Linked DNA regions of Drosophila melanogaster. The protein of the gene in region 2 purifies or fractionates together with the protein of the main gene of each other region. This does not show direct contact. Each region holds a gene or a part of one and is shown on either strand. Other genes may lie near its edges.

Region 1 (6,148 bases), on a different chromosome or scaffold from region 2:
CATCTAATCCACTCAAAATTCCATTCGGGATGCAGTGCCTGCTCCAAGGTTGGTATTTGGCAGCGGATACTCATTCCTTTGTGCTCAGCTTGGTGCTGCTGATGCTGGGTCACCGGTTCGTCAGATGGAGCAAACAGCTCTATGCGGGCATTTTGGGTCTTTTTGTGGTGGTGCCAATGGTGCTCACATATGCCATGAACTACTATCCCATTTTTGTACCCACGCCACAGTAAGTGATCGGACTTAAAAACTTTACTACTTGATTACAATCATTCTACCCATCTACCAAACAGAACCCAGAAGGATTCCTTTATCGGAGATCGTCAATTCACCGAATTCTACACGTCGTCCTTTATGAACTTCGGTAGCTATTTCTGTGGAGTCCTGGCCGCTTTGGTTTACGATCAGTTGGCATTGAAGCAATACAAACTACGGGAGTTAAAGAGCTTCCAGCTTCTTTGGTTTACACTTATTCCAGTGGGGATTCTATGGCTGTTTAGTGCTCATCCCATCTTCCAGCACTACTACGTGACGCCGTCGGCCATTTGGGGAGCATTATATGCCGGCCTGCAGCGAAACATCTGGGGCTTCGGGCTGGGAATCTTCATCGTGGGCATGGCCAGCAAAGTGGGATGTAAGTATCAACTGCGAGATATGCTTGGTATATCCTTGGCAAATCTTACTGTTCTTTCACAGGGATTTTCCGTAAGTTCTGCTGCTTGCCCATTTTCCGCATTTTGGGACGCCTCACTTATGGAGCCTTTATCGTCCACCTTCTTGTGGCGAGAATCGTCTTGGCCACAGTGCGGGAGCCCATTTATTTTGGCACGGGCATGATGGTGAGCTCACTTCTGGCATTCAATAGGAATTGGATTTTATGTAACTCAAATTGTTCTCATCTTATCTACAGTTTGCTTTCATCTTTTTTACGGTGACCGTGTCCTATCTCTGCTCCTTCTTGCTGGCCATCTTTCTGGAGCTTCCCGTCTCCTCCTTCCTCAAGCTTATGAGGTAGCCCAATGTCCTAACTTAAAGATTACTTATAACTAGAATAAAAGACATAACTTAATTAAATCCGTCACCAAAAAATTTCACTTACCCTGCGCCAATCTGGCTGGAAACGTCTTCATCGAGATTGCAGCTTCCTTTGAGCTCAAGGAAGTAACGCAGAACAGCATTGCTGGCGTCCTCGTTTAGGACCGGATTTAATTCCTGGCGAGCATAGGACAAGAACTTCTTAATCAGTATGGGTGGGAGCAGGTCCAAGTCCCCCTCCTCCGGAAGTACCTCCAGACGTTTGTCAAGATCATAATCCTGCTGCATAATGCTGTCATTATCGTCCTCCGTTTTGATTGTGTCATCATCTTTTCCCGCTGCCGGCACATTAAGGCTGACCTCGCACATGGAGTCGCTCATTTTGGGCTTAAGAGCATAGCGGGCTGCAATTCTCGCTCGTTTCCTAGCGCCCGCATGGAGAGCCCTTACGTGGGCAGTCAGCGACATATCTCTCTCCGAGGGCTTGTCCAATAATATGTAAACCAAATGGAACTCCCGCAGCAAAGAGGGTGAAATATTAATATTCTGTAGAAGGTAGCGCCCCTCATCGTATTGTCCTCTTTGTGGATTTGCGCACGCTATCACCGAAGGTTGCGCCGGGAATGAGGCAAATGCTCCTGCAAGTGGAAGATTTACTTCCTCTGATTGTAGGCACTGCAACAGTACGGCCTGCTTGGAGGCAAGTTTATCCACATCATCGAGGGTGCAGTGACCGCCTCCACTGGCCATCATCAAGGAACCCGCTTGTAGCACACGCTTGTTACGCCCAGCAAACGTAACACCCAGTTGCTGTGCGGATTGAGCCCCACGTTTTCCACTCACGTGGGCACCACGTTCAGCGATCTGAGCACAACTTTGCAGAATCTTGGTCTTTCCAATTCCGGGATCACCCACCAGGAGCACGTTGATGGCTTCAGTCTCCGCACCTTTCCCGCCGAGAAGGGATAGTAAACAGGCGGCTTTGGGTAGCTCATGTCCGTATACCTCCGGGGCAATGGATTGCACCAGTAGCTTAAAGCTGTTGGGTTCCGCATTGATCATGACAATCGCTTCCAAGTCACGTTCGCTGAACTCCCGCTTGATGCTGCTCGCATCGCGAATGCTGACTGCCTTGAGATAGGGCTGCATCTGGTTGGAGGTGTCTCCAGTGGTGGTATCGTCGCCCAATTCCTGCAGCTTAAGGATGCCAGTTACCACGACCTCCTGTCCGACACGCACAGCATCAACTAGATCATGTCGCAGCTCCACGTCCATTTCAGCAGGCATGCTGGTCTCAAAGTCGTGGACCAAGTTCAAACTGGACTCCTCCACGCGGATAATCTGTCGGATTGAAAGCCTGGTGTATGGGGAACTGCGAAGAGGCACGAATTCGTCACGAGCCACACACTCCGACCGCTTGCATTGATAAGGACGTGGCTGGAAGGTTCCCCGTTGGCGCATGGCAATCTCCATCTGGCAGCGACTGCAGCGAAAGGCTTGCCACGTGAGGCTGTAGCTAGGCTCGCCCACATTGCTCACAAAACCCCGGATGGAAAACAAAGTGTCCACTCGGGAATGGCTTATTCCTTCTATTGATTCCACAGGCACAAAATCATCCGGTCGTGCGTAGATCTTGCGTACCCGTGGGGTTGGAAGGACGTACTGTTCCGGAGTGGACACCATAGCTGTGGTGGAATCATTACAGTCCAGCTGGTGATTGACGACCACAGTGTGCATAGCCAACGACAGGGTTCCTAGCGTGCGAAGCGGGTGCTCACGGATGTCTTCGGACAAACTAGGCCAAACCTCCTTTAGCTGGGCATCTGATTTGATGCCTGCTGCGCAGAGGGGGAAGAATCCCCGATCCCGTATCATCACAAAATCGAAGGTGTGAGGATTACGTTGGTAGTATGCCTCCACGGCCATTATCCTTGTGGCCAGTTCGTTGCCCTCCTCGTATTTCTCGCGCAAGAAGTACAGTCGCCAGCCGGAATAAGCCCGTGGATTATCCACCGCAATGCTCTGCACCTGGAGCCCGTCTTCTGGTGCGGCATAGTTTTCCGGCCGCAGAAAGCTGCAGTCCAAGTGAGCATTGCGTCCTCGCTTGCCGGCTGTGCGGCTCCAGCCCCTGGGTTGCCGAGTTGCAGGCGGAACAGAAGGAGCGTCTGGTGCTCCAGGTTCCCCTTGGTTGGGTTGTCGATTGCCTCCGGCTGGGATCACACGTCCATTGCGCCGAAAGTAGAAGTACGGACGGTAGGCTCCGCCTCCGCGACCACGACCACGCACAAATCGCGATGGGGCGCCCCCCCGGGAAAGCGTTGGATTCATTTCAGCTGGGGAAAGTTTACAAATTTGCCCGCTTTTAAATAGAGATGATACCTATATTACAAATGACATGAAATATCGATAACGATCTTTGGCTAAGATATTGAACCCTTAACGATTTTATATTTAAACTTATAAATCGATGTAATAAAATTATTTTGGAATTATTTCGGCGGACACTTGTGATATCTTCGATTCTTGCTTCAGTATGCTCAGCTGGGCGGGAAGGTAGTGTTCAAATACACCCGATAGCTTCGACTTGACCTCACGAAATGTTTCCAACACTTTTATCTCCTCGTTCTCATCAGTGGGCTGCACGGCCTTTAGTTCATGTAGTAATTCGGTGCAGCCGTCGAGGAGCATCACCTGCTTCAGGTGAAGCTTAAGCAGCTCCTGCTGAATTGTCTTGATGCACTGGATTTGTTGGTCCATGCGCAGTGGAATCGTGGAAAGAGCCAACATTTGCTCCATATGCTTTTTATCCTTCACGAACATTTTAGCAGCACTTTCCATGGCTTCAGCAGGTTTTGCTTCAATCTCCTTGGGATCTTTGTGCTTTTTATCCTCCACGATCGTTTTATGAATAATTTCCATGTTTTCAGCAGGTTTTGCTTCAATCTCCTTGGGATCTTTAATGCACGGAGCTTCCGTCTCGGTTTTAGCTGGAATCTGTAAGGGAAATTAGGGCTTACTAACTAACTAGCCTTAGAAATTGACAGCTATCGCCTTTTTTTTTGGTTATCTACAGCTTTGTATTTATTTATTTTTTTTTTTACCATTTTGTTCTCTGCTGAAAAGTTTTAGAGACCGTATGCAACCAATGATAAAACTGAATAGCAGATCGAATACTAAGTCAAAGCCTCCTTTTAATAAGAAACTCATAGTTTTTTACAGAACATTCAGAGCGATCTAGGGTTCTGGTTTCTGGTCACCTTTTTTCGGGAAAAGTGAACTCAGATTGACGGGACAGTTGTCCAGGCGGGCCAGTTGCTTAACCATGTCATCCAGGAGCAGGCTGTTCCGCTCGTCGGAACCCTGGATGAGCCCGTAGGCCTCTGCGTTGGCGATTCGGTGCTGCAGAAGCGGCATGTAGGGTCCATTGAAATGCGGCTGTCCATTGGCCAATTCCGGCGGAGGCTTAGCAGTGGGAATAAAGTCCGTTTCCGACTTTGGGGACCGGCAAGTCGGCTGGTTTGGCCGAAACTTTGGAGTCCTATAGCCCAACTTTCGCTTCTTTTCCGCCTGCAAGTGATTTTCGCTCACGTCGTCGGACTCGTAATGATGGTTATAAAACCGGATGCCGTATATTGCGGGCTTTGGCTAAATTAGGTAGATTTATCTTTAGATAAATTAATATTTTGTGTTATAGATAGTGTTGATGGTTAGAAACTGAGACATATCTCCAAATCTCCAATACTCACAGCTCTCTTGCGCTCCTCATCGTAGCCATCGTCATCCGAATCATCATCCTGTTCATCATTGTCCATTTCAATGGGAATCCGGTCACTGGTCACCGGCACCTGGGGCACGAATTCTGAGGCACTTGCTCGGAGTCCATTAGGGGAGACCGCGGTCGGCGGAGAAGCAGAAGCCGAAGTCGGAGGAGTAACGGCTGGAGTCACCTCATTGCTCATGGACTCTAGTTCCAGACATAAACGTTTGTAGGCCATCGTGGTTCTTTCCAAGTGGTTGAGATCCAATTTGCCAGCGATATGGGCAACGTTCTGGAGGAATTTTTTACTTTCATCCATAAAGAGCGAAGTCACAATCAAATTCCTTTGTGGATGGCGCAAACATTAAAAATTTTAAACATTTAACACAAACTTGATTTGTTTAGCATTCGATGTTTCGATTCGATTTCTGACAGAAAATCTGGAACTGTCAAACATATTTAAATTGGTTGATGTACAACAATTTATAAAAAAATATTAATAACGAACTAAAAAACTTGTAGTATTTAATGGAATTGTCCACAATTTTAAAAATTTAGCTCAGTGTGACCATTTCGGTCGCGACTTATCGGTCTTGTCGATAAATTAGAGCTGCAAAATTTGTAAACAGTGGACGCCTATAATTAAAAACAATATTTAACATCGAAAAAATAACGTTTTCAACGTTAATTTAAATAATTAATTTAAAATACAATTCAACATGCCGGTTAGTGGATACTTGCGCATCAAAGGCAAACGAGTTGGCGTTGAGATATTCCCAGTTCTTTTCACCTGCTTTCGTGACCCCCTGCCAAGCATAAAAATTTCCAAGGGAAAAGGCAATCTTGTAAATTAACTATGCTTTCAGGCCTACCACTCGCAGATCAAGGAAGTGCGCCAGCAGGTGGGCAACATGGCCATCCTGCCGCTGAGGACGCAGGTGCGCGGGCCAGCGCCCAGTGCGAATATTGAGAGCGACATCATTGATGAGTCACTGTACTACTTCAAAGCCAATGTCTTCTTTCGCACGTACGAAATCAAGGTGAGGCCGTAATCCGGGATTCAGAACCATTACCTGGTCACGTGATGGTCATATTGAATCCTTATGCTACTTGCTACTTGAATTCACAAACTATGTTTTACCATTTTCAGTCCGACGTGGATCGCGTGCTCATCTATGTGACGCTCTACATAACAGAGTGCCTCAAGAAGCTCAATCGCTCCACGAGCAAGGCCCAGGGACAGCAGGACATGTACAGCCTGGCCATCTCCAAGTTCGACATTCCCGGCGATGCTGGCTTCCCATTGAACGCCGTCTATGCCAAGCCGCAAACGGCCCAGGATGCGGATCTGATGCG
Region 2 (9,303 bases):
CAGAGTATTCTTAACATTTTGTTGACTTTACATAGTTAACGTAGTCAACAAAGTAATTGAGCGTTCTGCATTTAAAAACAATTAAATTTGTTTGACATTCTTTTATTTATTTACTTACTAACTTTCTTGGTGTCCATTTCTTAATTATTGTTAAGTTACATTTATTCACAGCCTGTTTCAGGTTTTCTGTGGAAATATTGTCTTTTATCATAAAATCCAAAAAAAAAAACTATTTGACTATTCTTGGCATTTAGGTTTAATTCTTATTAACAAAAAAATTAAAGTACTACTTTTTTTATAAGTAGATAGTTTTCCTTGGACTTGAAGTTGAGAAAAAAAATCCAAAATTCTCCAAAAAGTAAACACTTCTTACCATATATTTTTAAAAATATCTATGGCATCCTTATTTTATGTACTATAACTTTTGTAAAGTATTCCTGATGTCCCCGACGTAATGTAACTATTTTATGTATTGTTAACAATTCATTTCAGGTGTAAGCATATTCTGTGGAAATATGGTTTTTATAAAAAACAAAACTATATAGATTCTTGGCCACACATTTAATTTTAATACTTGTCCCAAAAACAATTTTACAAGTACATAGCTTCCAAAAAATTAGCAAAAACATCGTTGATTAGCGATTAACAACGGTACAAGATTATTCCAAAATTTTCCTGATTTTCGCGAATTAAATTTTTAAAACTATCCGCGATTAGCTTGCGATATACACAAAACATATATCGAATGAATCAAAAGATACTGAATGTGGAGGAGATGGGGGATGTATGTATGTGTCGGCTATGTGTGAATGCTTACAAATATAGTCTTCGTTTTTGAACGCTTCAGGTGTTGTTTGTGTAGTAGAGAATGGCTAGGGTGTAGTATCTAGTGGCTATAGTGCCGATTTTGTTTACAAACACATGTGCTGTAAATTTATCTGTATAAAACTACAAAAGGTATTCAAAATTGGTCCAGTGTGCGATGGTTATAAATCTACGAGTAATGCCAAATCAATGCCAAGTTGGTCTATAGGGATCTATGCCAGGCGTTTAGGGCATGTCCCAGCTATCTGTGCGCCGCCTCTTATCCGCGTGCATCCCCAGCTCCTCGTCCTCGTAGCTATTCAGATACTGAAGTAACCAGCGTGTAAACTTGTTCATGTACGGATCGATGCAGGAGATCACATTGAAATTGAAGACCGCCGGCGGTGCCTGGTTTTCTTTGGCCCCGAAAATGCCCTGCACGAAATGCTCGCAGTGAAAGATGGCCACACAAACGTCCGATTCAAGGACCTCCAGCCGCAGCGCCAGCTTGGCAAAGCACTCAGCTAATTGCTTCAGCACTATATAGGTCTTGCTAGAGAAGACATCTGGAAATGAGCGGGATGGAAAACGTTAGTTGCCATCGATTAGAGGAGCACAAAATAGTAACAAAAGTTGTAAATAGTATTTCAAGTTTCGAAAATAATTAACAATTTGACTCTGTTAATTGTTCTCGAAACATGCTAAATGCGAAACATTACTAAAGTCAGTTTGGATGAGATCTGTTTGAATTGTGATTGTTGTTGTGTTTGTTGATCTGTGTTTCATAAAGCCGTACTGACACGACCCTTCGCTTTGAAGCTAGGAAGACGATTTGCTGCTTAATGGAATTAGACTTACTCGGTCGCTCTTTCCTGGAGATCACATAATACTTTTGCAGCATATGCTGAGCGCCATCGGTTAAGGTGGTCTTGCGCTGATGCAACAGATGTATAAGCATGCGCATATCGTCCTCGGGAATGCTCAAGCCATCGTTGACTACAATTTGACCCTCAGCGTTGTGCTTCTGAATTATAGAGTTCCAGAGACTATTGCTGGCCTGAGCACCCATATAAATTGGCAGCCCGAAGATTCTGCAAATTAGGTTAACTTAATATACAAGCGTAATTTCTAGTTTTGTCCACCTTACGGGCACAGTTTGGCGAGGGCCAGTGTTTGATTGGTGGAGTTGTTCGGCTGCCAGTAAGTCCAAACGGCTGCCTTTAAGGGCTGATCGATGTGCAACTGCGGAACTGGGACCGCTCCATTTTCGATGCACTTTTCCAGCTGGCATCCCTGATCCTTGGACAGACGATTCCAATCGCCGGCGTAGTAAACTCCCTGTTGTGCCAATAGTAAAGGACTGGCCACTATCCAATTAAAGCGCGTGGGCAGGGCATTGAAAGTGGGCTGCAGTCCGTATTCGTGGGGTCCCAGGAAACGTGGTGCCAGTTGGCCCACTTTGTTAAGTAGACGGTTGGCCATCAGGCTGTCGGTGGCGATTATGCATAGCGAAATTGGAGCCCGCACCTCATCAGATTCGATTGAAACGATACTGGCCAGCAGTATCATCTTCAGGTACACAAAGCAATCCATAGGCACACAGTCCTGACTGATCTGAGCACTTAGGGCGTAGACAAAGGAGTAGTCAGAATACTGCGATGAGATCAAGTGATGTAGTTTCTTGATGCTGGACGGCACGCAGTTTAGATCCGGCTTGGGATATTCTTGGCCGTGCTGTGATGGGGCTCGAAATATCATATGACGCTCGAGTGGTGGTCCTGCGTCCTTAGCGAGGTACGCGTTTTCCTCGCCGTGTTCGTCGGCGACGACCTGGTTCTCCGACTGGAAACTCGGGGGCTCTATCTCCGACTCCCACTGCCATTCCTGGTCCTGTTGCTCCGGCTGGGTTTCCTCCTGATCCATATCCAACAGAGGCCTGCTGTACATTAGGTCCTCGTCCTGGTGGATGCATGATTCCCACAAGTGTTGCTGGTGCTGGTTCTCCACCGGCGGCGAACTGAGAGTATGCGATAACTGGGTGGGCCCGGAAATGCTGGATGGGAGGCGGCTGGAGCTCATATGCTGGATGGGGGGTGGCGAACTGGTAAATATATCCATATTGGTGGTGCCAACCCCTGTACACGGGAGACTGGCTAGCCGAAAAACCGACTGGCTGACACTGTTGCTTTGGATTTCAACCGGAATTTGTGGTGACGAGTTGCTCCATATAATTCCCGACTGCTGATCAAAATAGAACACGGGCGGCAGATTGCCGGTGGCACTCACCTCGATCATTGCCGGTGGTACAATGGCTTCGATCGGTGTGTCGACTGTCTGTCGTGGTGGACATGGCTGATCATCTATCTCAGAGGTGTATTCGAGTATTGGTTCTGGGGCGCTGTCAGGATTTGGTAGTTGCTCGCGTGGGTTATTTTTTTTCGCGTGCAAAGAGCGCGTAAAACGCTGTCGACAGCGTCTTTGCTGTAATTGTCCAATATAGAAAGGGTTATCTAATGAGGATTAAACTTACGGTGCAGTAACTTACGCTCAATCTAGACACTTTGTGGGTTAGATGGGATTCTCCGGTAGGGTGGAACTCCTTAGCATTTGAGTTCAAAACGCTGCCCATAGCCAATTTTCGCATGTGGCTGCTCGCATGGATTTCTGGTGAGCTTTTCACCTGGCGCGGTTTCTCCTGTTGCTGGTACGGCACCACCTCTTTTTCCGGCGTTTTCCCTGAAGATCCCTCAAGCAAGGACTCTGTAAACTCTCGACTTACCGCCTGCAGACTGCGCACCATCCGGGGGTTGTGATTGCGACGTGGGAATCTCCTCTGCCTTCTCTCACTTTGATTAGGCGTCGGCGGCATAACATCCTCGTCCTCATTGTGGACAACACTGGGACCCGAAGATTGAGTGGTCTGCTGTCTGGGCGCAATGCGGATTGGTGCCGAAGAATTGTTTGTAACTGAAGCTCTCTTCGCAGGGCTCCTTGAGTGCAAGTAAATGAGCTCGGTAGGTCTCTCTGATTGCGACTGAGTATGATTAACAGGGTTCATCTGCTGCTGAACAGAAGTTTTCGGACAATTCTGAAGAATCTTTGGCTTCTGCTGCTGTTGTTGTTTCCAAGAGTGCTGAATGCCAGGAGACTTCTGATTGTTTTGGCTCCTTTCATTATTGGCAGGACTCTTCTGTTGCTGCTGTTGGAATTTGCTGGGAGAATTTTCAGAACTCTTCTGCTGTAAAGAACTGGCAGAACTCTTCTGATGATGCGAGGAATTGACCCAACTCCTTTGCTTCTGTATGAAATTGACCGAACTCCTCTGCTGCTGTGAAGAATTGACCCAACTCTTCCGCTTCTGTAAGGAATGGACCGAACTATTCTGCTGCTGTAAGGAACTGGCAGAACTGTTTTGCTGCTGTAAAGAATTGGCGGAAGCCATCTGCTGCATGTTAGTAAAACCGACAGAACTCTTCTGCTGCTCCTTTGGAGAGTTAGGTGTTTTCTGCTGATGCTCGACAGAATTAGCCGGACTTGTCTCCTCCTGTTGGGATTTAGCTGGAGTATTCTGCTCCTGTTGGATATTCTTCTCACCCGGAGAGGACTGGGCAGAACTTTTTGGCGTCAGCGGCTGTACTGAATCTTTACTCAGCAGTGTTATATTGGTCGAAGAAGAGCAACGTGCCTGGTCGCTTAAAGACTTTTGGCTGTCGCTAGGACGTACTGACGACAGCCAAGTGGTCACCGATTGATGATTGCTGTTGCTCGATTTCGGAAGCATGAAATCCGGCAAAAAGTTACCCAGCACAGGCGGATCTTTTACGCGACTAAAACGACTGGCAAGGCACGAAACAGTGCCGCCGTCATCTTGATTACGCACCCGCGGCGTTCGTTGTTTGAATCTCTTCGGGCGCTGGCCCAAATCAGGATACTCTTCGGCACTCACAACAAAGCTACGATCAGGCTTAGTGACTTCTTTAGATAAGCGCCAGACGTTAACATTTGGTTTGTAGACACCGGCCTTCGGTGTGGGAGTCATAATAGGCGTCACATCGCTTTCGACCAGGCCATTCGATGGTATGGTGCTGGGCATTGGGGGATACATTAATATATTTGCTTATTATAATGGTGTAAATAGAATATTCTACCCTATGGAGCTTGTGTTGGCATTTTGAGTAACTTCACGAACTTCACCATCGTCATCGTTGCGCAAGAAAACATTAAGCTGGAGGGGAATGTGCCTACGAGGGTCCTTTTTCTCTAGTTTATTCGTAGATGACATGCTTCCAGTTGATATGTGCTGGCTGAGCTCGCAAAGTATCCAGTGATTAGGTAGCTAGCACCCAACTTTAATTCGCAGTCGTGGGCGTGGGCTAAGAAATGTTGTTAATATTATGATTATTCATGATAGTGACATCCAAATGAGTATGTCCTAGTTTACCAGGCATATTTAATTTCACGTGTTTATGATGTCCTGAATACCAGATTCACTTACCTCTAAGGCGAACTAATTTTGGGCGATGAAGGCAATTGGTGACACGAGGTGTCTGAACTGCCGAAATAGGCAAGACAGCCAAGATACGATAGGTTTCCGTGACGCGCAGCTTTTGGTATTCACTCATGGGCCGCGAGCAGCTCGAACAAAAGGGTGCTGAAAGATATCAAGAAGATGGATTAGCAATGGAGCTGGCACAGGATCTCGTGAACAAGGAATGCTGGGTTAGATAACATTTTGTTAGACAGGGTTCCGAGGGTTGTGAGTATGGCTAGAGGTTAGAGGTTGTTAGTTAGAGGTTGTTGGCTGTGCCACAATTTGGATAAAGTGCACGTTGTTTCTTTATGTTCCTAGCCTATGGGACCTACCATCTGTTGAGCTGGTCTGTATGGCATTTCGCATACAGCCACTGCCGCAGTACCAGATCGATTGTAGGCTACAATGGAATATCAGGATATAAATTACACATATTATCAAAGATTGGTACACCCTAGCAGAGCAGCTGTGTGTTTTATAATTAATATGTTTAGAAACAGATATTGCCTAAAGCATAAGAAAATAATACATGCAATAGACAAATAATAAATACCATTAACCCACTTAAATAAAAAATAACGATAATACGATCCATGCTTTTTTAACTTTAACAACAATGAACATTCATAGAAAGTTAATGGGATATAGATATACTTCTTTTGTAGGTTGGTATTTACACTTAAGAGACTAAGCTTAAAACCCTCTTGAACTAAACCAAAAAGGGTAAACCAGCTTGGCTAGCTTGGTTAGTTAAGAACTATAACTATAATTAATCAGGCATGACAGGATACATAGTACCCAAACATAACCAAATCGAATAAGAAAAATGTGGAAAAAGCACACCAAAGCAAACTAGGGGAACATTGCAATTCTCTGCCAGGACATGTACAAACTGTAAAACTGACACCAGTGTTTCTTGCGGCGTGAAAGCGGCTAGGATGCCCCGGATCTGGGACAAGCCCAGCCGGGTCAACTGGTCCCGCGGCTCGAACTGCAGGCCCGGCGTAAAGGGCAGTCCCACCAGGCGCCAGTGGGCGTGCAGCTGGTTGATATCGATGGGCTTCAGGCCAGCGTCCTTGAGATGTGAGCGGATCAAGCCATAAACCGAGTAGCGGACCGCTTCTTGAAACTGCAGCGGTTCCTCGACGATGAGCTGCAGTAGTTGCGGTGAGATATCGAGTAGTTGCCGGTATTCGAAGTCCAGGCGCAGCTGGATGGGGGCCAGCAGGTCCTCTGGCCGCCGGGAGCTCATATAGTTCGCCACAAAGCGGCCAGAGGAGACCTGGACCAGCTTGAGCAGCTGCGTCTGCCGGCAAAAGTGCTCAACCAACTTCTGATCGTGGAATCTGTATTGTATATTAGCATTTCGTGTTTTATGTCTTTAGGAGCCTGCGAAAATAAATGCGCCCTGTTTTTTAACCAGGATTACCGTGCACTTACTGGCTTTTTAATGGAGTCTCGTTTACAACTGATGATCCTTCGCTTGCATCCACTGTGAACATTATACACTAATCCAGAAATGTGAACTTATTTCAATCCGACCTACTACCAAAGAATTTTAAAATGAAGTGTTTGACTAAGGAAAAATTGGAATTAAAACCGATTGCGATATGAAGTGTACCTATCGAGCCCTGATTTAAATCGATACTGAAGTTTTTCGATCGGGTAATGTGTGACTTAGATTTTAAATGTCGTTAAATGACTAATGACTAGCCTCCTACAATAAATGGATCTTTTGTTGCTTTGGCATAGAGTTCTTCAAAAGCGAAGAATAGAATATATAAATGTAGAATTTAAGGGCTTAAAACAATCGGAGTATTGTAAACTGTTGCCAGCTTTCCAATACATTTATTTTAGAAAAGTGATGCCAGATCGATGGAGTATCGCAACTATCTATAGATTTTATACACTAAAAAAACCGTATTTTAGTGATCTATCGTGAGTAGTTAGAGAAATATCTATGAAAGAAATTGTATCAATATCGATAAAAAAAACTTTTTAAAGTTTCAATTTGTTTAAACCATGTAATTTACTTTAATTTTTTAGCTAAATTTCATTTCAATATTTTTAGCTATTCCAAGCAAGACAATTTCACGTTTTACTCACGCTTAACCTCACATATTTCTGACACCAGCAGCCCGATAGAAAATAGCTAAAATATCCGTTCTTCTCTGACAACCAAGTTTATTATAAACTAAAAACTATAAAAAAAGAATGGTCTGAAGTGAATTTTTCATCTTGTTGTTTATTTTAGTTTTAGTGTATCATTTCTCAGTGTACACACGTTATTTGTATAAAAAAAAACAGACAGAAGTTTGTTTTTGCTGGTGATGATGTCTCCTTAACGGTTGGACTTGGCGACACGCTCCAACTCATCCTTCTTCTTGATGGCGTACGAGTTGGAAGATCCCTGGAAATACATTTAAACACAAGTTATTAGTATTGGCTATCAATGTTTTTCTAGATCTTTTATATGTTAATTGCGCTGTTATGTTACTGTTACTGCATTGTATGGATTCATCGCTTCTAAATAAATAAATATAAAAAAACAAGTCCCTAACTTATTTAAAGCTAGTGTTCCTTTACGTTTCTCATGTGCATTGAACTAAGCAATATTACAAGCACAAGGATAATAAAGGATGGAAATTAATCTGGTCCAAAAGCGAGACTACATAATTAAACCACCATGCAGAATTAGATTGGACCTATTATTAAGCTCTATATACCAACTCTTAAATAGTTTGCTAATGTTCTTTTACGTTTCTCGTGTGCATTAGACTGATATTGTCACAAGCACAAGGATAATAAAGGATGGTGATTGTTCTGGTCCAAAAGCGAGACTACATAATTAAACCACTATGCAGAATTAGATTGGACCCCCGCTATCCTAATCGAATCAGTTCCTAAATGCTAATTCATAAAAGTGTTCTTTTACGTTTCTCGTGTGCATAGGACAGTTAAGTGGTCACTAGCACAAGGATAATAAGAGATTTGGAGTTTGATCTGGTCCAAAAGCGAGACTACATAAATAAACCATGATGCAGAATTAGATTGGACTAGTTGAAATGACTAGCTGTGTCACTAGAAGGAAGAAAAGAGCTATTTCGAAGCTCAATTCTTGGGTTAATCCGAGTGCCGAACGTGGTTCTCGATCTGGTCTACAAGCGAGGCCAGGCATTTTGGTAGTACAATGCCAAGCATTAGAGTAGACCACCCCATTCCCACTTTGATCTCGCCACAAGCCCAATTTACCCACCTTAGCAGCGTTGATCAGCTCATCAGCCAGGCACTCGGCGATGGTCTTGATGTTCCTGAAGGCAGCCTCACGAGCTCCAGTGCACAGCAGCCAGATAGCCTAAAGGAAATATACGGAAAAAAATTAATTAAGTAACTTTATGAACGCAATCACAGCAGCGTAAGAATTTGGGGTTCTTATCGTTAGTAAAATGAAAGTGTGTTATGCAATTGATAATGTCTCTTCGTTTCATACGCCAAATGTCGGCTATACTACACATTATGACGCTACGGATATTAGATAGATTTTCGTTCTGGCCAAGTGTTATAAGCAAGCAGTCTCTAAACGAACCACAAGCCATTGCTACCGGCCACCGTGAGCACATGCATCTGGAAGGCAAATCTTCAGAAGAAACCCACCTGGTTGACGCGACGCAGGGGCGACACATCGACGGCCTGGCGACGGACGGTACCGGCACGTCCAATACGGGTGGAGTCCTCACGGGGTCCCGAGTTGATGATGGCGCTGACCAGGATCTGCAAAGAGGTCACAAAAAAAAATCGAAATGAGTAAGCTATCACTTGATCCACTCGAAGCACCAAAGTAGAATTTTTGCTGTTGATTTATTGCTTTATTAAGGTTGCATTTTTGAGGCCATGCCCTTAAGAGGAATAGCTAATCATGGGGTTTATTGTGGTCCAATTGAATACCACAACGCTGTAGGGATCAACGC

What was found.
Region 1: the proteins of mei-217 (region 2) and rec purify together in Drosophila melanogaster (affinity purification with western blotting; one study listed by BioGRID). This does not show direct contact.

The regions. Positions count from the first base shown.
Region 1 is NT_033777.3:15,829,255-15,835,402, forward strand, and holds the start of rec (recombination-defective), read right to left. Parts: upstream 3,379-6,148; 5' UTR 3,364-3,378; coding exon 1,100-3,363; intron 1,068-1,099; exon of another isoform or gene 1,016-1,067; coding exon of another isoform or gene 911-1,015; intron 840-910; coding exon of another isoform or gene 697-839; intron 635-696; coding exon of another isoform or gene 294-634; intron 230-293; coding exon of another isoform or gene 36-229; intron 1-35. Other genes in the region: CG4576 (uncharacterized protein), read left to right, coding at 36-229, 294-634, 697-839, 911-1,015; CG43318 (uncharacterized protein), read right to left, coding at 3,514-4,029, 4,137-4,139; CG43317 (uncharacterized protein), read right to left, coding at 4,270-4,680, 4,782-5,111; Arpc3A (Actin-related protein 2/3 complex, subunit 3A), read left to right, coding at 5,512-5,517, 5,659-5,832, 5,943-6,148. UniProt on the Drosophila melanogaster protein: Required for meiotic DNA recombination in females. Probably not involved in DNA repair and recombination in somatic cells.
Region 2 is NC_004354.4:17,136,027-17,145,329, forward strand, and holds mei-217 (meiotic 217), read right to left. Parts: upstream 6,965-9,303; 5' UTR 6,838-6,964; coding exon 6,776-6,837; exon of another isoform or gene 6,682-6,775; coding exon 6,241-6,681; exon of another isoform or gene 5,736-6,240; coding exon 5,668-5,735; intron 5,569-5,667; exon of another isoform or gene 5,456-5,568; coding exon 5,300-5,455; intron 5,178-5,299; coding exon 5,065-5,177; coding exon of another isoform or gene 4,953-5,064; intron 4,890-4,952; coding exon of another isoform or gene 3,350-4,889; intron 3,286-3,349; coding exon of another isoform or gene 1,952-3,285; intron 1,896-1,951; coding exon of another isoform or gene 1,663-1,895; intron 1,371-1,662; coding exon of another isoform or gene 1,051-1,370; 3' UTR 552-1,050; downstream 1-551. Other genes in the region: mei-218 (meiotic 218), read right to left, coding at 1,051-1,370, 1,663-1,895, 1,952-3,285, 3,350-4,889, 4,953-5,086; RpS5a (ribosomal protein S5a), read right to left, coding at 7,677-7,745, 8,592-8,690, 8,990-9,106.